Anolis sagrei: one gene and its partners. The main gene of each other region encodes a partner of the protein of the gene in region 2 in a complex. Links are inferred from orthologs where the notes say so. Each region holds a gene or a part of one and is shown on either strand. Other genes may lie near its edges. The genes, in order: POLE2, POLE3 and POLE4.

Region 1 (10,957 bases), on a different chromosome or scaffold from region 2:
CAGCTGTACTTCTCCACTAGGCCTCAGAAATGGATATGGGAAATGGATATAACATTAATATGGAAATATAATAATAATATTTCCACCAGAGTGGAAATCATCTATTGGATAGATGGGAAGCTGTTGAACCGCAGCGACTGAAAGACAAAACCAAGGTTACAACAACATCTGTTATAGAACTCCAGTATGCGGATGATAACGTCGTCTGTGCTCATTCAGAAGAAGACTTACAAGCCACTCTCAACACAGACGCATACACGAAGGTATTTGAAGGACTTATCTCCCTTGATGAACCCCTCAGAGCTTATTTTCCATCTTCATCACTATGATACTTCATCTTATTGATGGGAAGCTTCCCACCAGAGTGGAAATCATCTATTGGAGAGATGGCAAGCTGTTGAACCTCACCAGACTGAAAGCCAAAACCAAGGTTACAACAACATCTGTTATAGAACTCCAGTATGCGGATGATAACGTCGTCTGTGCTCATTCAGAAGAAGACCTACAAGCCACTCTCAATACAGACGCATACAAGAAGCTATTTGAAGGACTTATCTCCCTTGAACCCCTCAGAGCTTATTTTCCATCTTCATCACTATGATACTTCATCTTATTGATGGGAAGCTTCCCACCAGAGTGGAAATCATCTATTGGAGAGATGGCAAGCTGTTGAACCTCACCAGACTGAAAGCCAAAACCAAGGTTACAACAACATCTGTTATAGAACTCCAGTATGCTGATGACAACGTCGTCTGTACGCATTCAGAACATCTACAAGCCACGCTAAACACCGGAGTGGAAATCAAATGTCAGATAGATGGCAAGCTATTTAACTTTAGCAGACTGAAAGCCAAAACCAAGGTCACAACAACATCTGTAATAGAACTCCAGTATGCTGATGACAACGTCGTCTGTGCTCATTCAGAAGATCTACAAGCCACGCTAAACACCGGAGTGGAAATCAAATGTCGGACAGATGGCAAGCTATTTAACTTTAGCAGACTGAAAAACAAAACCAAGGTCACAACAACATCTGTTATAGAACTACAATATGCTGATGACAACGTCGTCTGTGCGCGTTCAGAAGATCTACAAGCCACTCTAAACACCGGAGTGGAAATCATCTGTTGGACAGATGGCAAGCTATTTAACTTTAGCAGACTGAAAGCCAAAGCCAAGGTCACAACAACATCTGTTATAAAACTCCAGTATGCTGATGACAATGTCGTCTGTGCTCATTCAGAAGATCTACAAGCCACGCTAAACACCGGAGTGGAAATCATCTGTGGCACAGATGGCAAGCTATTTAACTTTAGCAGACTGAAAAACAAAACCAAGGTCACAACAACATCTGTTATAGAACTCCAATATGCTGATGACAACGTTGTCTCTGCGCATTCAGAAGAAGATCTGCAAGCCACTCTAAACACCCAAGTGGAAATCATCTGTCGGACAGATGGCAAGCTATTTAACTTTAGCAGACTGAAAGCCAAAACCAAGGTCACAACAACATCTGTTATAGAACTCCAGTATGCTGATGACAACGTCGTCTGTGCGCATTCAGAAGAAGATCTACAAGCCACTCTAAACTCCCGAGTGGAAATCATCTGTCGGACAGATGGCAAGCTATTTAACTTTAGCAGACTGAAAGCCAAAACCAAGGTCACAACAACATCTGTTATAGAACTCCAATATACCGATGTTCAGACTTTCATATAAACACCCACAAAAGTGGCATCTGTAGACAGTCCACCTCTCACAGGCGTATAGCCTTACCCTTACCTTAGGCGATCCCTTGTTGGACAAATAGGATAGTCTTCCAGGATCAGTATTCTTGTGCATCCGTAGGTGACTGTGGAGCCCAATTCTTGACCTGCATCTTCTCCAACAGTGAGGGCATTGGTTTCCAGGTGGAAGCCTTTCCCAGTGAGGGTTGGCTTGACGTGCCTTCTTCTTGGTACATTTTTCTCTTTTGTCCTCCATTCGTGCCTCTTCAAATTCTGCAGCACTGCTGGTCACAGCTGACCTCCAACTGGAGCACTCAAGGGCCAGGGCTTCCCAGTTCTCAGTGTCTATGCCAGAGTTTTTAAGGTTGGCTTTGAGGCCATCTTTCAATCTCTTTTCCTGTCCACCAACATTCCGTTTTCCGTTCTTAAGTTCGGAGTAGAGCAACTGCTTTGGGAGACGGTGATCGGGCATCCAGACAACGTGGCTGGTCCAGCGGAGTTGATTGCGGAGGACCATCGCTTCAATGCTGGTGATCTTTGCTTCTTCCAGCACACTGACGTTTGTCCGCCTGTCTTCCCAAGAGATTTGCACGATTTTCCGGAGGCAGCGCTGATGGAATCATTCCAGGAGTTGTACGTGACATCTGTAGACAGTCCGCGTCTCGCAAGCGTATAGCAGGGTTGGGAGGGGAATAGCTTTATAAACAAGCCCCTTGGTCTCCCTATGGATGTCCCGGTCCTCAAACACTCTCTGCTTCATTCAGAAAAATACTGCACTCGCAGAGCTCAGACGATGTTGTACTTCGGTGTCGATGTTGACTTTGGTGGAGAGGTGGCTGCCAAGGTGCCGGAAATGGTCCACATTTTCTAATGTTACACCATTAAGCTGTATTTCTGGCATTGGAGAGGGATTGGCTGGTGACTGCTGGAACGGCACTTTGGTTTTCTCGATGTTTATTGAGAGGCCGAGCTTCTCGTATGCTTCTGCAAAGGTGTTTAGAGTGGCTTGTAGATCTTCTTCTGAATGCGCCCAGACGACGTTGTCATCAGCATACTGGAGGGGACTCAGGGCGGAGCACCAAGAATCTCTATGAAAATATAATATTAATAAGCATCTGCATGCAAATATGCTAATAATAATCATAAACATATGTGTGGAAATATAGTATTACTAGTAATAATAATAATAAATACCAATACAGCTTTATTTTATCACCCCACAAGGCTCCAGACTGTGAGAAATAGATATATTTATATGGCAGTTAATGGAAATTCAGACCAAGGGAGCATCTACACTGTGGAATTAACCCAGTTTGACTCCACTTGAACTGCCATGGCTCAAGACTGTGGAGTCCTGCTGTAGTTTAACAAGGCCTTTCGCCTGTTTCACCAAACCATGATTCCATAGCATTTTGCCATGATAGTTAAAGCGGTGCCAAACTGCATTAATTCTACAGTGTAGATGCATTGCACACAATGACAACTAGATTGACAGCTTATTCCTTCCTCCCTTCCTTCCTTCTCCTTCCTTCCTTCCTTCCTTCTCCTTCCTTCCTTCTCCTTCCTTCCTTCCTTCTTTCCTTCCTTGCTTCCTTCCTTCCCCTTCCTTTCTTCTAATTCCTTCTCCTTCCTTCCTTCTCCTTCCTTCCTTCTCCTTCCTTCCTTCTCCTTCCTTCCTACTCCTTCCTTCCTTCTCCTTCCTTCCTTCTCCTTCCTTCCTTCCTTCCTTCCTTCCTTCCTTTTTTCCTTCCTTCCTTCCTTCTCCTTCCTTCCTTCCTTCCCCTTCCTTCCTTCTAATTCCTTCCTTCTTCATTCCTTCCTTCCCCTTCCTTCCTTCCTTCTTTCCTTCCTTCCTTTTTCCTTCCTTCCTTCCTTCCTTCCTTCCTTCGCCTTCCTTCCTTCCCCTTCCTTCCTTCCTTCCTTCCTTTTCTTCCTTGCTTCCTTCCTTCCCCCTTCCTTCCTTCTAATTCCTTCCTTCCTTCCTTTTCCTTCCTTCCTTCCTTCCCCTTCCTTCCTTCTCCTTCCTTCCTTCCTTCCTTCCCCTTCCTTCCTTCCTTCTCCTTCCTTCCTTCTCCTTCCTGCCTTCTTTCCTTCCTTCCTTCCTTCCTTCTTTTTTCCTTCCTTCCTTCCTTCCTTCCTTCGCCTTCCTTCCTTCCCCTTCCTTCCTTCCTTCTTTTCTTCCTTGCTTCCTTCCTTCCCCTTCCTTCCGTCTAATTCCTTCCTTCCTTCTAATTCCTTCCTTCCTTCCTTCTCCTTCCTTCCTTCCTTCCTTTTTTCCTTCCTTCCTTTTTTCCTTCCTTCTCCTTCCTTCCTTCGCCTTCCTTCCTTCCTTCCCCTTCCTTCCTTCTTTCCTTCCTTGCTTCCCCTTCCTTCCTTCTAATTCCTTCCTTCTCCTTCCTTCCTTCCTTCTCCTTCCTTCCTTCCTTCCTTCCTTCCTTTTTTCCTTCCTTCCTTCCTTCTCCTTCCTTCCTTCCTTCCCCTTCCTTCCCCTTCCTTCCTTCTTTCCTTCCTTCCTTCCTTCCTTCCCCTTCCTTCCTTCTAATTCCTTCCTTCTCCTTCCTTCCTTCTCCTTCCTTCCTTCCTTCTTTCCTTCCTTCCTTCTAATTCCTTCCTTCCTTCTAATTCATTCCTTCCTTCCTTCTCCTTCCTTCCTTCTAATTCCTTCCTTCCCTCCCTCCCTCCCTCCTTCCTTCCTTCCTTCCTTCCTTCCTTCTCCTTCCTTCCTTCCTTCCTTCCTTCCTTCCTTCCTTTTCCTTCCTTCCTTCCTTCCTTCCCCTTCCTTCCTTCTCCTTCCTTCCTTCCCCTTCCTTCTCCTTCCTTCCTTCCTTCTCCTTCCTTCCTTCTCCTTCCTGCCTTCTTTCCTTCCTTCCTTCTTTTTTCCTTCCTTCCTTCCTTCCTTCCTTCCTTCGCCTTCCTTCCTTCCCCTTCCTTCCTTCCTTCTTTTCTTCCTTGCTTCCTTCCTTCCCCTTCCTTCCTTCTAATTCCTTCCTTCCTTCTAATTCCTTCCTTCCTTCCTTCTCCTTCCTTCCTTCCTTCCTTTTTTCCTTCCTTCCTTCCTTCCTTCCTTCTCCTTCCTTCCTTCCTTCGCCTTCCTTCCTTCCTTCCCCTTCCTTCCTTCTTTCCTTCCTTGCTTCCCCTTCCTTCCTTCTAATTCCTTCCTTCTCCTTCCTTCCTTCCTTCTCCTTCCTTCCTTCCTTCCTTCCTTTTTTCCTTCCTTCCTTCCTTCTCCTTCCTTCCTTCCCCTTCCTTCCCCTTCCTTCCTTCTTTCCTTCCTTCCTTCCTTCCTTCCCCTTCCTTCCTTCTAATTCCTTCCTTCTCCTTCCTTCCTTCTCCTTCCTTCCTTCCTTCCTTCTTTCCTTCCTTCCTTCTAATTCATTCCTTCCTTCCTTCTCCTTCCTTCCTTCTAATTCCTTCCTTCCCTCCCTCCCTCCCTCCCTCCTTCCTTCCTTCCTTCCTTCTCCTTCCTTCCTTCCTTCCTTCTAATTCCTTCCTTCCTTCCTTCCTTCTCCTTCCTTCCTTCCTTCCTTCCTTCTTTCCTTCCTTCCTTCCTTCCTTCCTTCCTTCCTTCCTTCCTTCCTTCCTTCCTTCCTTCCTTCCTTCCTTCCTTCCTTCCTCAGTGAAGAATAAAACCAAAGTTTCCCAAAACTCTGTTTGCAGGTACTTGGGACTCTATTTCCCAGGATGCCTCCTCATTGGTCAAAGCAGCTGAGGCTTCTGGGAGTTTCAAGACTAGGAACCCGCTTTTCTACCACAAGGGGGCGGGGCCTGTCAGGAAAGGGGCGGGGAAAGGGGCGGGGCCTCACCGTTGGCGCCAAAGTTCCAAAATGGCGGCGGAGAAGCTGAGGGGGAAAGTGGGCGCCGCCTTCAAGATGCACGGCCTGCTGCTCCGCGCGTGAGTAAACCCTTTCCTCGGGGTCGGGTGGGCGCCTCTCTCGTGGCCGTGGCAAGCGAGGAAGGCCTTCGTGGAGGAGAGAAGATCTACGGCTCAGTCAAGGCCAATCTCTAAGCCCCAAGTGCTTTTGGACTTCATTTCCCAGAAGCCTCTGCCACTTAGGCTAAGGAGATGGCATTCTGGGAAATGGGGTCCAAAGGCATGGAAAGGCAGATCTTGGGCAATACTGAAGGAAAGCAGCCTAGAATCATGCAATCTAGTTCCAAATGGTTCATGAGATTATCTAGTTTAATAATCTGGATTATGTGGCGGTGTAGACTCACTTAATCCGGTTCCAAACAGATTGTGTCATTACATAGTTTAATAATCTGGATTATATGGCAGTGTAGATTCATGTACCCCAGTTCCAAGCAGATCATGTCATTACCTAGTTTACTTATCTGGATTATTTGGTGGTGTAGACTCATGTACTCCAGTTCCAAGCAGATCATGTCATTATCTGTTTTAATAATCTGGATTATTTGGCACTGTAGACTCATGTAATCCGGTTCCAAGCAGATCATGTCATTACCTAGTTTAATAATCTGGATTATATGGCACTGTAGACTCACACAATCTGGTTCCAAGCAGATCATGTCATTACCTAGTTTAGTAATCTGGATTATATGGCACTGTAGACTCATGTAAATCATGTCATCTAATTTTGTAATCTGGATTATATGGCGGTGTAGACACACTTATCCGGTTGCAAGCAGCTCATGTCATTACCTAGTTTAATAATCTGGATTATATGGCACTGTAGACTCACGTAATCCTGTTCCAAGCAGATTATGTCATTATCTAGTTTAATCATCTGGATTGTACAGTCATGCAATCCAGTTCCAAGAAGATCACGTCATTTACCTAGTTTAATAATCTGGATTATATGGCAGTGTAGACTCATGAACTCCAGTTCCAAGCAGATCATGTCAATATCTATTTTAATCATCTGGATTATATGGCAGTGTAGACTCACTTAATCCTGTTCCAAGCAGATCAGGTTATTATCTAGTTTAGTAATCTGGATTATATGGCACTGTAGACTCATGTAAATCATGTCATCTAATTTTATAATCTGAGTTATATGGCGGTGTCGACACACTTACTCCGGTTGCAAGCAGCTCATGTCATTACCTAGTTTACTAATCTGGATTATATGGCAGTGTATACTTATGTAGTCTGGTTCCAAGCAAATCGTGGCATTATCTAGTTTCATAATCTGGATTATATGGCAGTGTAGACTCACTTAATCCTGTTCCAAGCAGATTATGTCATTATCTGTTTTAAAAATCTGGATTATATGGCAGTGTAGACTCAAATAATCCGGTTCCAAGCAGATCATGTCATTATCTAGTTTACTAATCTGGATTATTTGGCAGTGTAGACTCACCTAATCCGGTTCCAAGCAGATCATGTCATTATCTAATTTAATAATCTGGATTATATAGCAGTGTACACTCACTTAATCCTGTTCCAAGCAGATCATGTCATTACCTAGTTTAATAATCTGTTGAAATTGTCCACATGCTTGTGGATTTCGCCTTCGACAATAATCATCATCATCATCTGCCATAAATCTGCACTGTAGATGCACACAATGACAACTAGACTGACAGGTTATTCACACTTTGGGTATTTCTTCTTCTTCTCTCTTCCGTTAGTGAAGCTGCTAAATATCTCACAGAAGCTCTTCAAACAGCTAATGAAGTTGAGCTGGAAGACATGATAGAAAATATAATCGACGCTGTTGAAAAACAGCCTTGTAAGTAATGCCGTCTGTTTTCTACAATGGTTTAAGAAGGAAAGGGTGGGATACTTAACGTTTCTGTGGCTTCTGATGGGATTTGTGATTGTAAACTAGGTTTTGTCATAAGCTTTTTAAGCGTGCTCCTCAATAACTACATAGGAAACCATTTTGTATTTTTACATTCTTCTTTTCAGTGACATGTAACATGATTGAAAAGTCCATGGTGGAAGCAGCCGTCCTGGAGTGCAGCCAGTCTGTAGACGAAACCATGTATGTTTACATTCGTTTACTTCAAACAAGCAGGAGCTTTTGATGCAGTCTAGTTTGGTTGATTGTCTTGTTGACTTCCATTACTTTGATTGGCTGATATTTCAGATTTTAGTGTCATTAATATTCATGTACACCAGGCATGGGGAAACCACCGCCTCCTCCTGAGAAAAATGTACACTATCACAAAGGATGACCACCTCACCCGTCTCATAGGAAACCTGCTACAAAACAGGAGCTTTTTTGTTGCGTTCCAGGGCCAGAGAAGCAGATGGCAGAAACAGAAGAACGGCCTTCCTCAGCGGAGTGTGCTCACTCCATCCATGTTCAACATCTACACAAATGACCAGCCACTGCCAGAAGGGACAGAGAGCTTCATCTATGCTGATGATCGTGCCATTACCGCTCAAGCAGGGAGCTTTGAGATGGTAGAACAGAAGCTTTCCGAAGCTCTAGGTGCTCTTACTGCCTATTACAGGGAAAACCAGCTGATCCCTAATCCATCTAAAACACAGACATGTGCCTTTCACCTTAAGAACAGACAAGCATCCCGAGCTCTGAAGATCACCTGGGAAGGAACCCCACTGGAGCATTGCAGCACATCCAAATACCTGGGAGTCACTCTGGACCATGCTCTTACCTACAAGAAGCACTGCCTGAACATCAAGCAAAAAGTGGGTGCTAGAAACAATATCATACGAAAGCTGACTGGCACAACCTGGGGATCACAACCAGACACAGTGAAGACATCTGCCCTTGCGCTGTGCTACTCTTCTGCTGAGTATGCATGCCCAGTGTGGAACACATCAGACCACGCTAAAACAGTGGATGTGGCTCTTAATGAGACATGCCACATTATCACGGGGTGTCTGCGCCCTACACCACTGGAGAAATTACACTGCTTAGCCGGTATTGCACCACCTGACATCCGCCGGGAAGTAGCAGCCAATAGTGAAAGGATCAAAGCAGAAACATCTCCAGCTCATCCCTTGTTTGAGTATCAGCCAGCACGCCAACGACTTAAATCTAGACATAGTTTTCTAAGATCTACAGAGACACTCGCTGGAACACCTCAGCAAGCAAGAGTCCAAAAGTGGCAGGCCCAAACCCAGCACCTCAACCAATGGCTGATACCCAATGAGAGACTCCCACGAGATGCAGAGCCAACCTCAAGAAATGGGGCCACAAAGTGGAATCCTCGGTATGCGAGTGTGGAGAAGAGCAAACCACTGACCACCTGCTGCAATGCAACCTGAGCCCTGCCACATGCACCATGGAGGACCTTCTTGCAGCAACACCAGAGGCACTCCACGTGGCCAGATACTGGTCAAAGGACATTTAACCAACTACCAAACTCACAAGATGTGTATTTTTCTGTCTGTTTGCTTTGTTCTGTTAGAAATGTAATATATAATGGACTGGTTGCTCTGACACGACAAATAAATGGGGAAATTTCTGCCCTTTCTCCAGGTGCTTTGAACTTCAACCCCCACAATAACTTGTGAGAGCCAGTAGGCTGTTAGGAGTTGTGAGAGTCCAAAAACACCTGCAGGGAGGGCTGAAGTTTGCCCATACGTGGTGTAGTGTAATGTCAGTATTAATATGGCATCCATTCATTGATTTTTTTGCATGAGCAGCTAAATAATGTAGAGAGGGTTGACAGAATTTCCTGCAAATCCAAAGTTTGGGAGTTTATTGTTCAAATAATGTTGTCTTTGGATTAGTGAAGGCTTTCATGGCCAAAATCATTGGATTGTTGTGAGTTTTCCAGGCTGGCCATGTTCCAGAAGCATTCTTTCCTGACGTTTCACCTGCATCTATTTATTTATTTGTTTGTTTACGACTTTTATATGCCACCCTTCTCACCCAGAAGTGGACTCAGAGTGGCTTGCAAGAGATATATACTGTTTCAAGATTGGGAAAGGCGTCCGGCAAGGCTGCATACTCTCACCCAACCTTTTTAACGTGTATGCAGAACACATCATGTGAGGATGTGCGGGGCTTGAGGAATGCAAAGCTGGGGTGAAAATTGCTGGAAGAAACATTAACAACTTCAGGTATGCAGATGACACCACTCTGATGGCCAAAAGCGAGGAGGAGCTGAGGAGCCTTCTAATCAAGGTGAAAGAAGAAAGCGCAAAAGCCGGGTTGCAGCTAAACATCAGAAAAACCAAGATTATGTCAACAAGAATGATTGACAACTGGGAAATAGAGGGAGAAAACGTGGAGGCCGTGACAGACTTTGTATTTCTAGGCGCAATGATGAGTGCAGACGCAGACTGTGGCCAGGAAATCAGAAGACGCTTCCTTCTTGGGAGGAGAGCAATGTCCAGTCTCGATAAAATAGTAAAGAGCAGAGACATCAGATTGGCAACCAAGATCCATTGCCTAGTCAAAGCCATGGTCTTCCCTGTAGTCACCTACGGATGTGAGAGCGGGACCTGAGGGAAGGCTGAGCGAAGGAAGAGAGATGCTTTTGAGCTGTCGTGTTGGAAGAAAGTTCTGAGAGTGCCTTGGACTGCGAGAAGATCCAACCAGTCCATCCTCCAGGAAATAAAGCCCGGCTGCTCATTGGAGGGAAGGATATGAGAGACAAAGTGGAAGTCCTTTGGCCACATCATGAGGAGACAGCAAAGCCTAGAGAAGACAATTATGGTGGGGAAAGTGGAAGGCAAAAGGAAGAGGGGCCGACCAAGGGCAAGATGGATGGATGGCATCCTTGAAGTGACTGGACTGACCTTGAAGGAGCTGGGGGTGGTGACGGCCGACAGGGAGCTCTGGCGTGGGCTGGTCCATGAGGTCACGAAGAGTTGGAGACGACTGAACGAATGAACTACAACATATTATATTATTAGCATAGGACAATATCAGTATTAAATATTACTATATTGTACTATACCATTACATTGTAATATTATTAGTAATATTACATGTAATATAAATATATAATTATAATATCATATTACTATTATTGGAGCCCCCGGTGACGCAGTGGGTTAAACCCCTGTGCCGGCATGACTGAAGACTGACAGGTCGCAGGTTCGAATCTGGGGAGAGTGTGGATGAGCTCCCTCTATCAGCTCCAGCTCCTCATGCGGGGACATGAGAGAAGCCTCCCACAAGGATGATAAAAACATCAAAATCATCCGGGCGTCCCCTGGGCAACGTCCTTGCAGACGGCCAATTCTCTCACACCAGATTCTCAAGTCTCTCCTGACACGACAAAAAAAAATACTATTATTAGTATTATATTGCATATATATCTATGGCAGACATCCTCAGAAC
Region 2 (10,823 bases):
TCATCTCCCAGAAAGACTTGGGGCGGCTTACAAAGCTCTCAAAGGTGCAAATGAACAAAATACAATAATTACAGAAACAACGTAAAGCTTGAAACCAACCCAGTGACCTGTAATAGGGGATGAAAAAGCACTTCTGTGTGGGTGCGTGCATGCGGGTTTCGTCAGCCCAACTCTTGACTGCTTGTGCAAGTTTCTGGACACACCTCTCCCCCACCCTTTGGAGAAGGTCCCAATGCTGATCCTGACTTTTCACACACTCCCACACCCAAATCCCCAGGTGAGAACTCCCTTTGGGTCGCCTTCAAGGGCCTGTTCCATAATAGCAATGGGTTTGGGAGCCCCTTCCTCTCAAAGCCCTGCTCCAATACTTGCCTTGTACAGGACAGCAAATGGCAGGGGATCAGGCAGGCAAAGACTTTCCCTTCTTCTCTTCCACTTTCCCAGCAGCCCCTGCATAAGCACACCCCTTGGACTGCATAACCACTCCCTCCTGATGCCCATACTCTCTCCTTAAAGGGCCAGAAGCATGGTTTGCCCACTGCTGCCATCTCCTGGGTTAAGAGTGGAGTTTCTACGGCAGTGTTTTGCAACCTTCCTAATGCCACAACCCCTTGATACCCTTCATCATGTTGTGGAGACCCCCAACCATAATATTTTTGTTGCTACTTCATAACTGTCATTTTGCTACTGTTACGAATCGTCATATAAATATCTGATATGCAGGATGGATTTCCATTCACTGGACCAAGTATGGCACAAATACCCTATACGGTCGCCCACATTTGAATACTGGTGGGGTTGTTGATTTTGTCATTTGGGAGTTGTAGTTACTAGGATTTATAGTTTGCCTACAATCAAAGCGCATTCTGAACTCCACCAATGATGGAATTAAACCAAACGTGGCGCTCCCATGACCAATAGAAAATACTGGAAGGGTTTGATAGGCATTGACCTTGAGTTTGGAGTTGTAGTTCACCTACATCTCAAGGGCACTGTGGACTTAAACCACTGTTTCTCAACCAGGGGGTCGGGACCCCTGGGGGGGGTCACGAGGGGATGTCAGAGGGATCCCCGAAGACAATCAGACCGGCATAAGTGAGGGAACACTGTATTGCTACAGAGAGGCTCTTCCTGGCAGGTCCTGGCAAGGAAACCCTCCTCCTCTCAGGCTGCGAAGGGCAGATTGTGGCTCTTATAATAATAATAATAATAATAGTAATAGTAATAATAATAATATTTTTAATACCCTGTCATCATCTCCCCAAGGGATTCAGAGAGGCTTACATGAGGCCAAGTCCAACAACACATCAATAAAACCAAAAGCAATAAAAGCAATAAAAACAATACAATTAATATAAATCACATATAAACAATAAACAGTAACAGTAACAAGGCCATCGCAGCTTTTTTTGGGGGGGGGGGAACATCTCCAGCTGACTGTCCCCGTCACATCTAAAACACAGAAATCAGTAGAGTTCTGAAGTGATTCAGCACCTTTATTGAAACACAAAAATGAGACTTAGATACTGGAAATACAACAGAATGGTCAGAGCAGTGAACTCTGGGAAAAACAAAATGCCCAAACCTTCTTGCCCCAAAGAGAAGGCACATTGTGAGAGAAGCAACTTGGGAGGAAGAAAGGAGGCCCAAGCCAAGGGCTGCCCATTCCCCAATGCCCCCTCCCTTCATGTTACCCATTTTTGCCCCCCAAATCCAACACCAGGCATGACCCCAGGAGCCCTAAAAGATCCTTTTATGGGATCAAGACACACTGTTTTGCATATAAAAAGCTGTCCAGAAGTCTGTGGGAAGACGGGGGCTCTTTAGCAAGACTACAGCACTAGGAGTAGCTGGAGGGAGCCTGAGACTTCGGTGTGGTGCCTTCCAGCCAAACAGTGGCCGCAGCTTGAGGGAGTCCTTTGGCAGGAGGCAATGGATCCTGTGCTGCCTCAGCCCTCCTCCTCATTCTCCTCTTCCTCCTCGTTCTGCTCCTCCTCCTCCATCATCCTCTCCTCCTCATTCTCCTCTTCCTGGCTCTTTTCGGGGTCTTCAGAGCCCTCCTTCTTGTCTCGGTCCTTCTTTTTGAGCTCCAAGGCGCCTCTTTTCCCTTTTTGCTCACTCCTGTAAGCTGAAAGGACAGGGAAAGGTTACAGCAGGATCGGGGGCACCTCGGACCAAGACAGAATCAGGAAGCCCAGCAGACTCGGCACCCTGAATGCTGGGGCACACACTACCTTCTAAGGACTCCTTCAACGGGGCGAGGAACCTCTGGAACTCCATCTCCTCCATGGCCGAGAGCACGTCCCCCGCGTTCAGCGTCTTCCGCTTCCCCTTCATGGCAAAATTGTTGGCACTAATGGCAGAGAGGGGCAGAAAAGAGGGAAAGGAAAACCATTTTTGTCTCTAGTTAAATACTGTCACTAAGGAGGCTGTGCAGGTCCTGAATCAGTGCTTGGCCGCTCTGTCGGTCTGGATGAGGGCAAACAGATTGAAACTAAATCCAGACAAGACAGAGGTACTCCTGGTCAGTCGAAAGGCCGAACAGGGGATAGGGTTACAGCTTGTGTTAGATGGGGTAATAATAATAATAATAATAATAATAATAATCTTTATTTATACCCCGCCACCATCTCCCCAATGGGGACTCGCAGTGGCTTACATGGGGCCAAGCAAAACATGTTACAGCAAAATAAAACCAGAACATAAACAACAAGCAACATCATCAAAATTACATAGAAAAAAAGTATAAACACAGTAACAAAATAACATTCCAATAAACACCATCACGATAACAGTGGGCGGGCCAGATGTACAGGATAAAATGATTAAAAAACTCTAATGAGAGAAAAATAGGAGCAGGTTCTCTAAGCCATTCCGTGTTTCAAACTTACATAATTCCATATTTGTCTATTGCCCTGCATTTCCAAAAACCTGTTCAGAGCGCCAGGTTTTTACTTTTTTCCAGATGGTCAGGAGGGAGTGGGCTGATTTAATACACCCAGGGAGGGAGTTCCATAGCCGAGGGGCCACCACTAAGAAGGCCCTGTCTCTCGTCCCCGCCAATCATGCATGTGAAGAAGGCAGGACTGAGAGCAGGACCTCCCCAGACAAAAGGAAAGGGCCTGAGGCTGTTAGGAATTGTGGGAGTTGAAGTCCAAAACACCTAGAAGGTCCAAGTTTGCCTAAGATATAGACTTAGATCCTCTTGGACCCTCTATGTTTTGGCTCTATATTGCCCTGCATTTCCAAAAACCTGTTCAAAGCACCAGGTTTTTACTTTTTTCCAGAAGATCAGGAGGGAGGGGGCTGATCAAATATACCTAGGGAGGGAGTTCCATAGCTGAGGGGCCACCAATGAGAAGGCCCCATCTCTCATCCCCGATAGTCATGCATGTGAAGAAGGCAGGACTGAGAGCAGGACCTTCCTAGACAAAAGGAAAGGGCCTGAGGCTGTTAGGAATTGTGGGAGTTGAAGTCCAAAACACCTCGAGGGTCCAAGTTTGCCTAAGTCTGATATAGAGGCTTTGGCTCTATATTGCCCTGCATTTCCAAAAACCTGTTCAAAGCGCCAGGATTTTACTTTTTCCAGACGGTCAGGAGGGAGGGGGCTGATCTAATATACCTAGGGAGGGAGTTCGATAGCTGAGGGGCCACCACTAAGAAGGCCCTGTCTCTCGTCCCCGCCAATCATTCATGTGAAGAAGGCAGGACTGAGAGCAGGACCTCCCCAGACAAAAGGAAAGGGCCTGAGGCTGTTAGGAATTGTGGGAGTTGAAGTCCAAAACACCTCGAGGGTCCAAGTTTGCCTAAGTCTGATATAGAGGCTTTGGCTGGCACAGGAGGGGTGAATGAGTCTATTGAGCGCTTCCTCCCTCGGCTAGGCCTCACCAGGACGTGGCGTAGAGCACGAAGACGCTGGCTGCCCGGGACACAGCGCTCCGGGCCTCTTTCGAGACGTTCACGCCGTCGGGGAGCTGCAAAGGGAGAAAGACAAGAGGGTCAGGCGGACAGGGGACGAAGCTAGCCCCCTTCCTCCTCCTCCTCCTCCTCCTTCCCCGGGACTCACGGCTTCTTTAATGATCCGTGTGACCACGGCATTGGGCAAGTTCAAGTCCTCCGGCCGCTCGGCCATAATGCCGCAGGCCTCAAAAGCCTTCCCTCGAGTAAGAGCCGAGCTCTGGGCATGCGCAGAACCTCCGAAGCCGCGCGCCAAAGCAAAGCAGCCGCCTCTCTCAAGCTCTCTTTCTGGACCCGGAAGTGGTGAGTTTGCCGCCGCGCGGTGCACACTGGGAAACCAAGCCGCGCGTTGCCCAGCAACGGAAGGCCTTCCCGCTTTCGGAGGCGCAAAGCCTCCTTCGCCTTGAGCGGGCTGAGGATCACGTGGAATGCGCTGTTAACCTCCACACTGGCGAAGGAGAGGCCTCTGAGCATGCACAGAGTGCTCCCAACCCCTCAGAATGTACGTTAGGAGGAAAAGTCAAGGAAGATATTGATAAAAGATGGAAGGGGTCCAGAGAAGGGTGACCAAAATGGTCAAAGAATTGGAAACCTGTGAGGAGTGAAAGTTAGGGATGTTTAGTTGGATACAAGATGGCTGTGGGAATCAAGGGTCTGGAGAACAAGCCCTATGAGGAGCGGCTGAAAGAGCTGCAGAAGAGAAGGCTGAGAGGAGTCAGGATGAGGGCCATTTATCAAGATGTGAGGGGAAATCATGGAGAGGAGGAAGCAGGCTTGTTTGTTGGTGGTCAGAGCTGTTCCACAGTGAAATATGTTTCCTTGGAGTCTGCTCTCAAGGTTTTTAAGCAGAGGCTGGATGGCCGTCTCTTGGGAGTGCTTTGAAGTCCTTTATAGTCGAAGGGGGTTGGACTGGATGGCCCTGAGGGTCTCTTCCAACTCTAGGATTCTTTTGATATGTGTATGTGTGTGTGTCAAACATATCTCTTTCTCGGCCTTCTATCTATGGCTGGATGGCCACCTGCCAAGACAGTTTGGATAGTGCCTTTTTAGGTTGGACTGGATGGCCTTTGAGATCTCTTCTCTCAACCATATAATAGCCAGTGTTGTCGAAGGCTGTCACGGCCGGAATCACTGGGTTGCTGTGAGTTTTCCGGGCTGTCTGGCCATGTTCCAGAAGCATTGTCTCCTGTGTGTTTCGCCCACATCTATGACGGACATCCTCAGAGGTTGAGAGGTTTGTCATGGCCATCTGTCAGGAGAATTAATTAATTATTTATTTATTTCGGGCATTTCTACCCCGCCCTTCTCACCCCCTAGAATTTGGATGGTGCCTTCCTCCCTGGACAAAGGGGGCTGGACTAGATGGTCTTTGGGGTCTCTTCCAACTCTAGGATTCTATGATATGTTAATAATATATATATATATATATATATATATATATATATCTCCAGTGTGTGTGTGTATATATATATATACATACACACACACACATATATATACATACACATATACATACATATACACCACATCTGTGTATCTACTCTCTCTCAACCATATCATCTATGGCTGGAGGGCCATCTGTCAGGAGGGCTTGTATGGTGCCTTCCTGCCTGGCCAAAGGGGGATAGACACTAGATGGTCTTTGGGGTCTCTTCCAACTCTAGGATTCTATGATATATTAATCATTATACACACACACAGAGCATGTGCAGTATGGCTAGATGGCCATCTGCCAGGAGGGTTTGTATGGTGCCTTCCTGCCTGGCCAAAGGGGGATGGACTAGATGGTCTTTGGGGTCTCTTCCAACTCAAGGATTCTATGATATATTAATCATTTTATATACATATACACACACACAGAGTATATACAGTATATATAGTATATATATACACACACACACATATATATATACATGTACCACATTTATGCAACTACTCTCTCTCTCTCAACCATATCATATCTATGGCCAGATGGCCATCTGTGAGGAGGGTTTGTATGTTTTTATATTGTGTAAATGCTATTTTAAATTGTGCTAATTAAGAAATAAAGTGAAGTGAAGTGAAGTATGGTGCCTTCCTGCCCGGCCAAAGGGGGCCAGACTAGGGGGTCTTTGGGGTCTCTTCCACCTCTACGATTTTATGATATATTAATCATATCCATCTATCTATCTATCTACCTACCACATCTGTGTATCTACTCTTTCTCACTCATATCTATTGCTGGATGGCCATCTGTCAGAAGGGTTTGTATGGTGCCTTCCTACCTGGCCAGAGGGGGGATGGACTAGAGGATTCTATATAGAAATTTTTCAGCCAGGAGAGAGATTTCACCGACCGTAGATGTTCTCTGAGTCCTAGATAAGGAAGGCTCGGCATCCAACAGACCTCGAAGGACCTTGAGGAGTCATTGTTGGTGTGTCGTTCTAGAATATAACCCTGGGAAATCCTCTTGCTTATACTGGGTTCTTTTTGCTATTTATGTGCAGTAATGTGACATTGGGACAGAGCGGCCAGGATGGTGGGAGTAGATACCAAACAATGGGACGAGACCATTTGCGACATGATGCCTTGCCAGCACCCTCTTTGCTGGGAGACGCTGCGGAGGATTGAAAGTGGGCACCCCCGGATAGTCTTGGGGGCCCTGGCCTCCCCTGAGAGAGAGTCTCCAGATTGTGAAGGTAATCCCACCTTCCGTATTGCACCTGGAGCCTGGAGGGAGGAGCCTCTTCCTTCAGGGACAATGATCCTGTTCCTTTTGAGCCTGGTTTTGTGACTGTGTTTTCCGCACATTTCAGGTGAGCTGCCCACACTGAAAATCATAGACCTTCCTCTCAATTGCCCTCAGAAACAGGGAGTCAAGTGCAGCAAAAGCTACAGTTCCGTTTCCAAAACTGTCTCCCGTACGAAAGACACCAGAAGTTATTTTTCAAATTGTACCCCGAATGATACTTGGATACCCCCAGTCTCGGTAATGAGGTTAGTCACAAACTCAGCATTTGGGATGGCAGTGCATAGGGATTTACACTTTTCTGATGTGCCACACACATCCTAGGAAACTAGATCCACTTTTTAAAGGGCCCTGAATGCATTTTGGTGCCCAATGCAACTCATCCAGTCCTTCCACTGATATGCCCAGCTGGCAGTGGGGTCCAGTGTGTCTGGACAAGGCGGTTGGATGAAGTGAAGCTTCATAACAAAATTCCCTAGCTTTGTGAAGGGTCTGGATATTATTATTATTATTAATAATAATAATAATAATAATAATAATTTTTCTTTATATTTTTGCTCTATCTTCCCTGGGAGGATTCAGGGTGGTTTCCAAGCAACAACATCAAAACATAGAGTCACAACATGTACAAAAAAATAACAGTAACAGCAACATAAGCATGGAATTACCTAACAACACATAAATATTAAAAGAAAAAAAATCCTGCCTGCTCTTCATGTCTATTTGTTAGGGCATGGAAAAGGAATGGGTCAGGACAATTAAAAAGGCTGGATCAAGACTGATACAAATTGAAATAAGATGGGACCGGCATTTGAGTACAGTACTGTAATAATAAATAAAATAATAAAATAAAACTTTATTTATACCCCGCCACCATCTCCCCAAGGGACTCAGAGCGGCTTACATGAGTCCAAGCCCAACAATACATCAATAAACAAAAGCAATAAACAAAAACAATACATACAATACAGTTAATATAAATCACATATAAACAATAAACAATAACACACAAAGATTTAAAAACCTATGGCCGGGCCAAATGTAATAGTTTAAAAAATAATGCTGGGCATGAACAAGGTAGGATATAACTGGTATAGGGTTTTCAGAGAGAGATGAGGGAACGCAGTCAATCTCAAATCAGTGGTAAAGTGCATTTTGAGGGCATATTGCTGAGAATTTTCCTTATTCTGGGAAGGCACACTGGAACAACCACGTTTTCAGGCTCCTCCTAAAGACTGTCAGAGTTGGGGCATGCCTGATGTCCTTGGAAAGTGAGTTCCAGAGTTGGGCCATCACCGAGAAGGCCCTCTCCCTCGTCCCCACTAATCGCACCTGCGAAGGAGGTGGGAGCGTGAGCAGGGCCTCTCCAGATGATCGAAGAGATTGTGTGGGTTCGTACACAGAAATGCGGTCACGACAAAAGCGGGGACATGTTATTTGCAGGGGCCTGTTAGGAGAATGACCAGGGAAATAAATAGGGGGCTAGGTCATGTTCGGACAGTGTCTGGGCTGAGCTAACACTGATCACTTAAATCACCAAGTCATCAAATCTTATGAAAAGAGAGGAAGGATGGGGCCTATCTCATTTCCCTTGGAAGGGCATTCCAGAGGTGGGGAGGCACCACCGAGAAGGCCCTCTCTGTCGTCCCCACCAACCGTGCTTGTGACGGAGGTGGGAGCGAGAGGAGGGCCTCCCTGGAGGATCTTAGAGTTCGCGCCGGTTCATAGATGGAGATGCGATCGTGAAGATAGGTGGGCCCCGAACCGTTTAGGGCTTTATAGGTCATTACCTACACCTTGAATTTGGCTCGGCAACTTGTCGGCAGCCAATGCAGCTGTTTTAATAGGGGCGTAGTATGCTTCCTATAGTTTGCTCCAGTAAGGAGCCTGGCTGCTGCCTGTTGTACCAGCCCCACGTAGAGCGCATTGCAATAGTCCAATTTATGTGTTATTCATTGAATTGGGTCCTCGGCTCAGCGCTGTGTGCAGCCATAAGCCCCAGAGTTAGATGTGCCACCTTGCTTTGTACCTGCTTGCCTTGCCTTTTCCAACATGGCTTCTGCTCTCTTGTCTGCCCTCCAGTTCTGAAAGGAATCCCTTCCCAGGGCTGAACTCCCGGATGGATTCTCACACCCCGCACCTCTCACCATTCAGCTTTAGCTGCTCGAGGCAACTCGAACAAGTGAGTTAAGGGCAAAGGAGAGCGGGGGGGGGGGGGGGAGTTTGGGATCCCCTCGGCCTGCAAGGTTCAACCCTGCCCGGTTTGCTGGTTTGTCCCAAGCTTCTCTTTGAGCCCACACCAAATCAAAAGGGACTCGGGTGGAAAGAAGAAGTGGGTTCACGCTCCACAACGGCTGCTGGAGCAGTGTGTCCAATAGAAGAAACATCCCTAAGCTCCTGCTGTTATGCAGAAGTACAGATCAGTTGGGATGGTGAAGAAGGATGCTCATCATTGCTAGTTATTATAGAAAATCATGACCTTTTAGAGACCGTAAACTTTTAGAGAAGAGGTAAAATCCTGTTTGAGTAGAATCTTCTCAAGTGGTATACAACCAAATGTAATTATGCAAGGCACTAGTGTTCACATGTGAGCATATCGAGTATTTGTGCCAAGTTTGGTCCAGATCCTTCATTGTTTGAGTCCACAGTGCTCTCTGGATGTAGGTGAACTACAACTCCAAAATTCAAGGTCAATGCCCACCAAACCCTTGCAGTATTTTCTGTTTGTTATGGGAGTTCCATGTGCCAAGATTGGTTCAGTTCCATCATTGGTGGAGTTCAGAATGCTCTTTTATTTTAGGTGAACTGTAAATCCCAGCAACTACAACTCCCAAATGTCAAGGTCTATTTTCCCCAAACTTCACCAGTGTTCACATTTGGGCCTATTGAGTACTAGCAGTCCCCTGCCATGCGTTGCTGTGACCAGCCTGTGTATATGTATTTTGTGTGTGTATATATGTGTGTATATATTTGTGTATATGTGTATATATGTGTGTTTGTCTATATATGTGTGTTTTTGATCATGTGTTTTAATTTATTTTTTATTTTTTGGCTTTTTAAGTCTCTTCTGCTGTGTTTTTCAGTGTTTTATGAGTGGTGGTCACTCGTTGGCCTGATAGGTGTGTTGTGTCCAAATTTGGTGTCAATTAGTCCAGTGGTTTTTGAGTTATGTTAGTCCCACAAACGAACATTACATTTTTATTTACATGGATTTCTGCCAAATTTGGTCCAGATCCATCATTGTTTTGAGTTCACAGTGCTCTCTGGTGTCAATTAGTCCAGTGGTTTTTGAGTTATGTTAGTCCCACAAACGAACATTACATTTTTATTTATATGGATTTGTGCCAAGTTTGGTCCAGATCCATCATTGTTTGAGTCCACAGTGCTCTCTGGATGTAGGTGAACTACAACTCCAAAATTTAAGGTTAATGCCGATCAAAGCCTTCCAGCATTTTCTGTTCATTTTGGGAGTTCTGTGTGCCAAGATTGGTTCAGTTCCATTGTTGGTGGAGTTCAGAATGCTCTTTGATTGTAGGTGAACTATGAATCCCAGCAACGGCAACTCCCAAATGACAAAATCAATCCCCCCCTCCCCCCCCAGCCCCACCAGTTTTCAAATTTTGGCATATTGGGTATTTCTTCCCAATTTGGTCCAGTGACTGAAAATATATCCTGCATATCAGATATTTACATGACAATTCATAACAGTTAGCAAAATTGTAGTTATGAAGTAGCAACAAAAATAATTTTATGATCAGGGGTCACCACAACATGAGGAAATGTGTTAAGGGATCATGACATTCGGGAGGTTGAGAAATGCCAACCTCCCAAATGCCAGGGAGACAACCCCTTCTTCTCCTCCTTCTCCTCTTGGCCCACGTACTTGACAAGCACTAAGATATCAGATAAATTCACAAAAGCATCTGAAAGAGCATTGTGTGTCTTCAGAAGTCTTGGCCATGGTTCTCTTGTGGCTTTCTTCTGCAATAGAGCCTTTCTATGCTGAGCGCCCTGTCCTTTCCAATGTACCTTGGCAGATACAGGTGATGGATATCTCTGAATTGGCAGCCCAGAGATTGGGCTGTCAACTTCCCTATGGAAACCTGGTGGTCCAGTGGATTCCATCCAAGTGGCCCAG
Region 3 (10,200 bases), on a different chromosome or scaffold from region 2:
TGGAATTGGGCCAAACTTAGCATACAGGGCTCCCATGACCAACAGAAAAAACTGGAAGGGTTTGGTGGACACTGACCTTGAGTTTGGGGATTATAGTTCACCCACATCCAGAGAGCACTGTGGACTCAAACAATGATGGAGATGGACCAAACTTGGCACGAATATTCCATATGCCCAAATATGAACACAGATGGAGTTTAAGGGAAATAGACCTTGACATTTGGGAGTTGTAGTTGCTGGGACTTATAGTTCACCTACAATCAAAGAGCATTCTGAACACCAATGATGGAATTCAACCAAACATGGCATATGGGACTTCCATGACCAACAGAACACACTGGAAGGGTTCGGTGGGCATTGACCTTGAGTTTGGGAATTATAGTTCACCCACACCCAGAGAGCACTGTGGACTCAAACAACGATGGATCTGGACCAAACTTGGCACAAATATTCCATATGCCCAAATATGAACACAGATGGAGTTTAAGGGAAATAGACCTCAACATTTTAGGAGTTGTAGTTGCTGGGATTTATAGTTCACCTACAATCAAAGAGCATTCTGAACTCCACCAATGATGGAATTGAACCAAACATGGCATACAGGACTTCCATGACCAACAGAGCATTCTGAAACCCACAAACGACAGAAATGGGGCAAACTTCCCACACAGAACTCCCATGACCAACAGAGAATACTTAAGGCCATCCAGTCCAACTCTCTTCACCAGGGCAAGAAAATGTAATCAGAGCCCTCCTGACAAAGAGCCATCCAGTCATAAATATAGATAGATAGATATGATTCTCTCTCTCACACACAGATATGGTATCATAGATTTGAAAGAGACCCTTAAAGGAGGACTATGGTATGTGGCATGTTCCAGAGTAGGCAAACCAGACACTCTCCACATCAACACTGACAAAGAAACAACACGAAATACTGTTTACTCACAAGCAGAAAGGAATTACATATATTAGAAACCAACACTTTCTTATTAATTTATTTTCCAGATCACTAGACTGGGCCACAGCAACGCGTGGCAGGGGACAGCTAGTATATAATATAATATATTATTATAATCTAAAATAGACAAGACCAGAAGGTGAATAATGTGGCAGAGAAATAAACTGTCCAAACTATGTAATACATTTATGATCATCATCATAATCTAGACAATAGTATTAATTATGTGTTGTCGAAGCCTTTCGTGGCCAGAATCACTGGTTTGTTGTGAGTTTTCCAGGCTGTGTGGCCCTGTTCAGGAAACATTCTCTCCTGCTGTTTTGCCCACATCCATGGCAGGCACCCTCAGAGGTTGTGAGGTCTGTTGGTAACTAGGAAAATGCGGTTGATATATCTGTGGAAAAATGTCCAGAGTGGGAGGCAAGAAAACAGGGGAATTCCAGACAGGAAACAATCAGGTCTAGCTATCACCTCCCAACCAAGGATTCCCCAGGCAGGAAGCAGCCAGACTTTGAAGCTGTAAGGTCATTCAATGTTAATCAAGGTGGCCAATTGCAACATTCACTCTTGCCTCAAGCAGACAAGAGTCCGTTCTCCCACCCTGGACATTATTCCACAGGGGGTGCCTCCAGGCAACAAAGGCCAGGCTCCCTCTATGCAGATTCCCCTCACTGATTGATTTTACAGGTCATTTAATGCTACTTACGTTGGCCAATGGCAACATTCACACTTGCCTCACACGGACAAGGGTTCTTTCTCCCATCCTGGACATCATTCCACAGGTATATATATATATAAACCCAGAAAATGTTAACCATTTCCGCTACCTTGGCAGCCCCCTCTCCACCAAAGTCAACATCGACACCGAAATACAACACCGCCTGAGCTCTGCAAGTGCAGCATTTTCTCGAATGAAGCAGAGAGTGTTTGAGGTCCAGGACATCCGTAGGGATACCAAGGTGCTTGTCTATAAAGCTATTGTCCTCCCAACCCTGCTCTATGTCTGCGAAACGTGGACTGTCTACAGACGTCACATGCAACTCCTGGAACAATTCCATCAGTGCTGCCTCTGGAAAATCCTGCAAATCTCTTGGGAAGACAAGCGGACAAACGTCAGCGTGCTGGAAGAAGCAAAGACCACCAGCATTGAAGCGATGGTCCTCTGCCATCAACTCCGCTGGGCCGGCCACGTTGTCTGGATGCCTGACCATCGTCTCCCAAAGCAGTTGCTCTACTCCGAACTTAAGAATGGAAAACGGAACGTTGGTGGACAGGAAAAGAGATTTAAAGATGGCCTCAAAGCCAATCTTAAAATCTCTGGCATAGACACTGAGAACTGGGAAGCCCTGGCCCTTCAGCGCTCCAGCTGGAGGTGAGCTGTGACCAGCAGTGCTGCAGAATTCGAGGAGGCATGAGTGGAGGGTGAAAGAGAAAAATGTGCCAGGAGGAAACCAATGCCTGGAAACCAATGCCTTCACCGTGGGAGAAGATGCGGGTCAAGAATAGGGCTCCACTGCCTCCTACGAATCCACAAAGAAACCCATCATGGAAGACCATCTTACTCGTCCAACGAGGGATCGCCTAAGTAAGTAAAGTAAGTAAGTAAGTAATATATAAACCCAACTTGCCCAGTTTCCAACAGACCTCACAACCTCTGAGGAAATGACAGGAGAGAATGCTGCTGGAACATGGCCAGGCAGCCCAGGAAACTCACAGCAACCCAGTATTGACTCCAATGGGCCGCTTACCTTCCAGGAAGGCAAATTCGTCCACGGCTTCAATGGCGTTGTCTGCAGGTGAGGCATAAAACAAAAATGGAATTAATAAGGAGGTATTATTATTATTATTTCTGTATTATTATTATTTCTGTATTATTTCTCACCCAAGTCCTTCCTCTGGAGGGTCTTCCTCTTGCCTTGCTGGGCAAAGATGAAGGCGTCCTTGGCAATGGTCTCCACAAACAGCTCCTGCAATATATATAGAGAGAGATAGAGATTGTTATTATATAATATTTGTATTATATTATTTATTATAGCATCATGATACATTGTATTATTATCTATGTATAAAAAATGCTCTATTCGTTTTGAGTGACATCCTAACTCAAAATCCGCAATTATGCTGCCAAATTTGGCCACAAGACACCTACTAATGCAAGGAGTTATCATCACTGAAAAAATTGATTTTGTCATTTGGAAGTTGTAGTTGTTGGGATTTATAGTTCACCTACAATCAAAGCGCATTCTGAACTCCACCAATGATGAAACTGAGGGTTTGGTGGACACTGACCTTGAATTTGGGAGTTGTAGTTCACCTACATCCAGAGAGCACTGCGGACTCAAACAATGAAGGATTTAATGTATTGTCGAAGGCTTTCATGGCTGGAATCACTAGGTTCTTGTGGGTTTTTTCGGGCTATAGAGCCATGTTCTAGAGGCATTTCTCCTGACGTTTCGCCTGCATCTATGGCAAGCATCCTCAGAGGTAGTGAGGTCTGTTGGAATTAGGAAAATGGGTTTATATATCTGTGGAATGACCAGGGTAGGACAAAGGACTCTTGTCTGTTGGAGCTAGGTGTGAATGTTTCAACTGACCACCTTGATGAGCATTTGAAGGCCTGGCTGAGCCTGGGAAAATGTTCTGTTGAGAGTTGTTAAGATGTGCCTGGTTGTTTCCTCTCTGCTGTTTTGCTGTTGTAATTTTAGAGTTTTTTAATACTGGTAGCCAGATTTTGTTCATTTTCATGGTCTCCTCCTTTCTGTTGAAATTGTCCACATGCTTGTGGATTTCAATGGCTTCTCACAAACTTGTCATGAATACTCCATATGCCTGAATATGAACACAGATGGAGTTTGGGGGAAATAGAGATTTGAGAGTTGTAGATGCTGGGATTTATAGTTCCCCTACAATCAAAGAACCCCACAAATGGTAGAATTGGGCCAAACTTCCCACACAGAGACACCCATGACCAACAAAAATACTGTGTTTTCTGGTGTCCTTTGGTGAGCCTTATGACACCCCCTATTTAATAGAATACCAAGCTTGAAAACTTTGTGTTCTGTTTGTTTGTTAAAAAATGAAACACAACTGTTTGGTCTGCTCCTGACACGATAAATAAATAACCCAGTGATTCCGGCCATGAAAGCCTTCGACAATACAATAAACATGCAATTCTTCAAAAAGTGAAAACTGATGAACCAGCCTGGACACAGTATATTATTTGAGAACACAGAAGTGCTGGACCACTCTCACAACCACCATGTCAGACTACACAGAGATGCCATTGAAATCCACAAGCATGTGGACAATTTCAACAGAAAGGAAGAAACCATGAAAATGAACAAAATCTGGCTACCAGTATTAAAAAACTCAAAAATTACAACAGCAAAACAGCAGAGAGGAAACAACAAGGCACATCTTAACACCTCTCAACAGAAGATTTTCCCATGCTCAGCCAGGCCTTCAAATGCTAATGAAGGTGGTCAGTTGAAACATTCACACCTAGCTCCAGCAGGGAAGAGCTCTTTGCCCCACCCCAGCCATTCCACAGATATATAAACCCTTTTTCCTAATTCCAACAGACCTCACTACCTCTGAGGATGCTTGCCATAGATGCAGGCGAAACGTCAGGAGAAAATGCCTCTAGAACATGGCCATATAGCCCGAAAAAACCCACAAGAACCTAGTGATTCCAGACATGAAAGCCTTCGACAATACAGTGAAAACTTTCCCAAACTTTTCAAGGAAAGCACGCGCGCCCCCTGTTGGTGAAACAACGCCACCCTCTCTTCAGCCACGCCCCCTGCACCCTGGTATTGGCCACGCCCACAGCGGCGAGATTGGCCAGCATTAAAAAGCGCGCGGGGGTAGCCACGCCCACACGCAGTCTCCGCCTACCGGGAGCAAACGAACGCTCTGATTGGCCAGGCGATTGCCCCCTTCCACCCCTCGCATGCGCAGTCTCAGTCTCACCGTAGCGCGGGCCAAGATGAAGACGGCTTCTTGGCTGGCGAGGCTGACATCCGGGTCGGCTTTGACCAGCGCTTTCACCCGGGACAAAGGCAAGCGAGCCGGGCGGGCCGTTGCGGTAGTGGGTGGCGCCTCCGGTTCTTCGCTGGGAAGCGCCGCCGCGACATTTACCTCAGGAACCGCTGCTGCCATGTTGGCCGCTACTGCGCCTGCGCCACGCGGTACGCAAATCAAGGCCTCAGGCCCCGCCTTCATGCCGCGGGAAGCCACGCCCCCTCTGCCCGGCTTTCACTGGCCCTTCCCGCCAAAGCTCTCTAGGGGGAGTCAGAGAGCTCTAGGGAAGAAAAAGATCACAATAATAATTATATACCCTAACATAGAATATTAATATAATAATAAATATAATAATATAATATATATATATATATATATATATATATATATGCATAACACCATATAATATTAATATAATAAATATATAGTAAATATAATTACTTTATCGTTTATCAAAGAATCAAAGAGTTGGAAGAGACCTCATGGGCCATCCAGTCCAACCCCATTCTGCCAAGAAGCAGGAATATTGCATTCAAATCACCCAGGACAGATGGCCATCCAGCCTCTGTTTAAAAGCTTCCAAAGAAGGAGCCTCCACCACACTCCGGGGCAGAGAGTTCCACTGCTGAACGGCTCTCACAGTCAGGAAGTTCTTCCTAATGTTCAGATGGAATCTCCTCTCTTGTAGTTTGAAGCCATTGTTCCGCGTCCTAGTCTCCAGGGAAGCAGAAAACAAGTTCGCTCCCTCCTCCCTGTGGCTTCCTCTCACATATTTATACATGGCTATTATATCTCCTCTCAGCCTTCTCTTCTTCAGGCTAAACATGCCCAGCTCCTTAAGCCGCTCTTCATAGGGCTTGTTCTCCAGACCCTTGATCATTTTAGTCGCCCTCCTCTGGACACATTCCAGCTTGTCAATATCTCTCTTGAATTGTGGTGCCCAGAATTGGACACAATATTCCAGGTGTGGCCTAACCAAAGCGGAATAGAGGGGTAGCATTACTTCCCTAGATCTAGACATTATGCTCCTATTGATGCAGGCCAAAATCCCATTGGCTTTTTTTGCCGCCACATCACATTGTTGGCTCATGTTTAACTTGTTGTCCACAAGTTAAACTCCAAGACTCCAAGATCTTTTTCACACGTACTGCTCTTGAGCCAGGCATTGTCCCCCGTTCTGTATCTTTGCATTTCGTTTTTCCTGCCAAAGTGGAGTCTCTTGCATTTGTCACTGTTGAACTTCATTTTGTTAGTTTTGGCCCAACTCTCTAACTTGTCAATAATAATTATATACCCTAACATAGAATATTAATATAATAATAAATAATATAATATATGTATAACACCGTATAATATTAATATAATAAATATATAGTAAATATAATTACTTTATCATTTATTTATCGTGTCAGTATCAACCAGATAATTGTATTACATTTTTAACAAATTTTAACAAACAGACAAAACAGAGTTTGCAAGCTTGGTAGTTGATTAAATGTCCTTTGACCAGTATCTGACCACTTGGAGTGCCTCTGAAGTCGCCCAGTCTTCTGTGTGCCCAGGGGGGAGTCTCTCATTTGGTATCAGCCATTGATTCAGGTTCTGGGTTTGAGCCTGCCACTTTTGGACTCTCGCTTGCTGAGGTGTTCCAGCGAGTGTCTCTGTAGATCTTAGAAAACTATTTCTTGATTTAAGTCGTGCTGGCTGATACCCAAACAAGGGATGAGCTGGAGATGTCTCTGCCTTGGTCCTTTCATTATTGGCTGCTACTTCCTGGCGGATGTCAGGTGGTGCAATACCGGCTAAACAGTGTAATATCTCCAGTGGTGTAGGGCGCAGACACCTCGTGATAATGCAGCATGTCTCATTAAGAGCCACATCCACTATTTTAGCGTGGTGAGATGTGTTCCACACTGGGCATGCGTATTCAGCAGCAGAGTAGCACAGCGCAAGGGCAGATGTCTTCACTGTATCTGGTTGTGATTCCCCAGTTGTGCCAGCCAGCTTTCGTATGATATTGTTTCTAGCGCCCACTTTTTGCTTGATGTTCAGGCAGTGCTTCTTGTAGGTAAAAGCACAGGCCAGAGCGACTCCCAGGTATTTGGGTGTGCTGCAATGCTCCAGTGGGATTCCTTCCCAGGTGATCCTCAGAGCTCGGGATGCTTGTATGTTCTTGAGATGAAAAGCACATGTCAGTATTTTTGATAGGTTAGGGATCAGCTGATTTTTCCTGTAATAGGCAGTAAGGGCACCTAGAGCTTCGGAGAGCTTCTGTTCAACCATCTCAAAGCTCCCTGCTTGAGCAGTAATGGCACGATCATCAGCATAGGTGAAGCTCTCTGTCCCTTCTGGCAGTGACTGGTCATTTATGTAGATGTTGAACATGGATGGAGCAAGCACGCTCCCCTGAGGCAGGCCGTTCTTCTGTTTCCGCCATTTGCTTCTCTGGCCCTGGTACTCAACAAAAAAGCTCCTGTTTTGTAGCAGGTTTCCTATGAGGCGGGTGAGGTGTTAGTCCTTTGTGATATTATACATTTTTCTCAGGAGGAGGCGGTGGTTCACAGTATCATAGGCTGCTGACAGGTCTATGAAGACAGCTCCTGTAATCTGCTTTATCGTAATATAATAATATAACACCATATAATATTAATTAATAAATATAGCAATATAATAATATAATGATATAACATAGAAGATGGAGAGGCATAGAGCTCTTGGGAAGAAGAAGATAATAATAGTGATATAATAACATAGAATTATTAATATAACAAAATTAATAATACAGGTGTATAGTGACATAGAATAGGGGGAGACAGGGAGGTATAGAGAAGAATATAACAATGATAATATAGTAACATAGTATAGGTAAAGGTAAAGGTTTCCCCTGACATTAAGACTAGTCATATCCAACTCTGAGGGGGTGATGCTCATATTGTAATATGACAACACAAAGTATTAATATAATGGTATAATAATAATACATATAGTAATATAATTATAATAATAATAATGAAATAATACAATATAACGCTCCCTAATATTATTCAGTGCATCCCTCCCTCTATTATTATTATTATTATTATTATATAAAGTGCATCTCTCCCTATTACTATTATGCAGAGTGCATCCTTCCCTCTTTATTATTATTATTCAGTGCAACCCTCTCTTTATTATTGTTATTATTATTATGCAGAGTGCATCCCTCTCTATTATTATTGTTGTTGTTATTCAGAGTGCATCCTTCCCTCATTATTATCATCATTATTATTATGCAGAGTGCATCTGTCATTATTATTATTCAATGCATCCTCCCTTCATTATTATATTATTATTATTATTATGCAGAGTGCATTCAGTCCAACCCATTCTGCTAAGAAGCAGGAAAATCACATTCAAAGCCCCCCCCCCCCCCCCCACAGATGGCCACCCAGCCTCTGCTTCAAAGTCTCCAAATAAGGAGCCTCCATCATACTCCAGGACAGAGAGGGAGAGAGTTCCACTGCTGAAAAGCTCTCTTTCACCGTTAAGTTCTTCACAGTGCATCCTTCCCTTATTATTATGCAGTGTATCCTTCTCTATATTATTATTATTATTATTATTATTATTATTAATATAGTGCAGAGTGCATCCCTCTTTTTGCAATATTATTATTGTTATTATTATTTCCCCTCATTGGGATTGCCTCTGAGCATGTGCAGAGTGCATCCCTCTCTGATATGACAGGATATAAATAAAGATGATGATTAGGTTCTTGTGGGTTTTTTCGGGCTATAGAGCCATGTTCTAGAGGCATTTCTCCTGACGTTTCGCCTGCATCTATGGCAAGCATCCTCAGAGGTAGAGGTCTCTACCTCTGAGGATGCTTGCCATAGATGCAGGCGAAACGTCAGGAGAAATGCCTCTAGAACATGGCTCTATAGCCCGAAAAAACCCACAAGAACCTAGTGATTCCAGCCATGAAAGCCTTCGACAAAGATGATGATTATTTGCCATGTGCAGAGTGCATCCCTCTCTGATATGATGAGGATTACTATTACGCAATTGCACCTCTCCATTGTTGTTGTTGTTGTTGTTGTTATTATTATTATTATTATCCACCCTTGGGTTGCCTCTGAACATGTTCAGAGTGCATCCTTCTCACAGTGACAAATGCAAGATATCCCATTCAGGCAGAAAAAAATGAAATGCACAGAGACAGAATGGGGGATGATGGCTAGCTCGACAGTAGGACGTGGGGAAAAGACCTTGAAGTCCTCGTGAGGAGGAAGGGGAACATGAGCCAGGAATGTCATGCAACAGCTTGAAAAGCCAATGGGATTTTTGCCTGCATCAAGAGGAGTCTAGTGATCCAGGGAAGTCATGCTACCCCTCTCTTCTGTCTTCATCAGACCACTTTGCCTGGAATCACACTGTGTCTGATTCTGGGCACCAAATTGAAGGGAGATGTTGACTCTAAGCTGGAATGTGTCCAGAGGAAGAGGGCGATTCAAAGGATCCAGGGTCTGAAGCCCTATGAGGAGCGGCTGAAAGAGCCGGGCATGTTTAGCCTGCAGAAGAGAAGGCAGAGAGGACACATTATGAGGGCTGTGTATAAATATGAGGGGAGAAGTCATAGGGAGGAGGGAGCAAGCTTGTTTTCTGCTGCCCTGGAGACTATGACGCAATGGAACCATGGCTTCAAACTACAGGAAAGGAAGGAGATACCACCTGAACATGAGGAAGAACTTCCTAACTGTGAGAGGTGTTCAGTAGTGGAACTCTCTCTCTGCCCTTGATTGTGGTGGAGGCTCCTTCTTTGGAGGCTTTGAAGCAGAGGCTGGATGGCTATCTGTCGGAGGCTTTGAAGATGATATTCCTGCTTGTTGGCAAAATGGGATTGGACTGTGTGGCCCACCAGGTCTCTTCCAATTCACATGACCTTGGAGGTGTCTACGGACAACGCTGGCTCTTCGGCTTAGAAATGGAGATGAGCACCACACCCCAGAGTCAGACATGACTGGACTTAATGTCAGGAGACTACCTTTACTATGTTGTTGTTGTTGTTGTTGTTGTTGTTGTTATTATTATTATTATGCAGATTTCACCCCTCCCTCTCTGATATTATTGTTAGTGTTGTTATTATTATGCAGATTTCATCCCTCTCCATTCTTCTTATTCTTACTCTTCTTGGCCATGTGCAGAGTGCATCCCTCTCTCCGTCCTTCCCCCATTGAGAT

The links.
Region 1: POLE3 (region 2) and POLE2 share a complex: the UniProt entries of both Homo sapiens proteins name them as parts of the DNA polymerase epsilon complex. The link is inferred for Anolis sagrei from reciprocal best matches to the Homo sapiens genes POLE3 and POLE2.
Region 3: POLE3 (region 2) and POLE4 share a complex: the UniProt entries of both Homo sapiens proteins name them as parts of the DNA polymerase epsilon complex. The link is inferred for Anolis sagrei from reciprocal best matches to the Homo sapiens genes POLE3 and POLE4.

What each region holds. Positions count from the first base shown.
Region 1 is NC_090021.1:340,618,944-340,629,900, reverse strand, and holds the start of POLE2 (DNA polymerase epsilon subunit 2), read left to right. Parts: upstream 1-5,516; 5' UTR 5,517-5,551; coding exon 5,552-5,619; intron 5,620-7,319; coding exon 7,320-7,420; intron 7,421-7,599; coding exon 7,600-7,675; intron 7,676-10,957. UniProt on the Homo sapiens protein: Accessory component of the DNA polymerase epsilon complex. Participates in DNA repair and in chromosomal DNA replication.
Region 2 is NC_090031.1:15,838,768-15,849,590, reverse strand, and holds POLE3 (DNA polymerase epsilon subunit 3), read right to left. Parts: upstream 4,152-10,823; 5' UTR 4,133-4,151; coding exon 4,067-4,132; intron 3,975-4,066; coding exon 3,889-3,974; intron 2,354-3,888; coding exon 2,235-2,353; intron 2,129-2,234; coding exon 1,950-2,128; 3' UTR 1,476-1,949; downstream 1-1,475. Other genes in the region: C11H9orf43 (uncharacterized protein C9orf43 homolog), read left to right, coding at 6,473-6,635, 6,753-6,933, 8,768-8,867, 10,723-10,823. UniProt on the Homo sapiens protein: Accessory component of the DNA polymerase epsilon complex. Participates in DNA repair and in chromosomal DNA replication.
Region 3 is NC_090034.1:61,632,199-61,642,398, reverse strand, and holds the start of POLE4 (DNA polymerase epsilon subunit 4), read right to left. Parts: upstream 5,146-10,200; 5' UTR 5,123-5,145; coding exon 4,934-5,122; exon of another isoform or gene 4,910-4,933; intron 2,929-4,909; coding exon 2,844-2,928; intron 2,752-2,843; coding exon 2,710-2,751; intron 1-2,709. UniProt on the Homo sapiens protein: Accessory component of the DNA polymerase epsilon complex. Participates in DNA repair and in chromosomal DNA replication.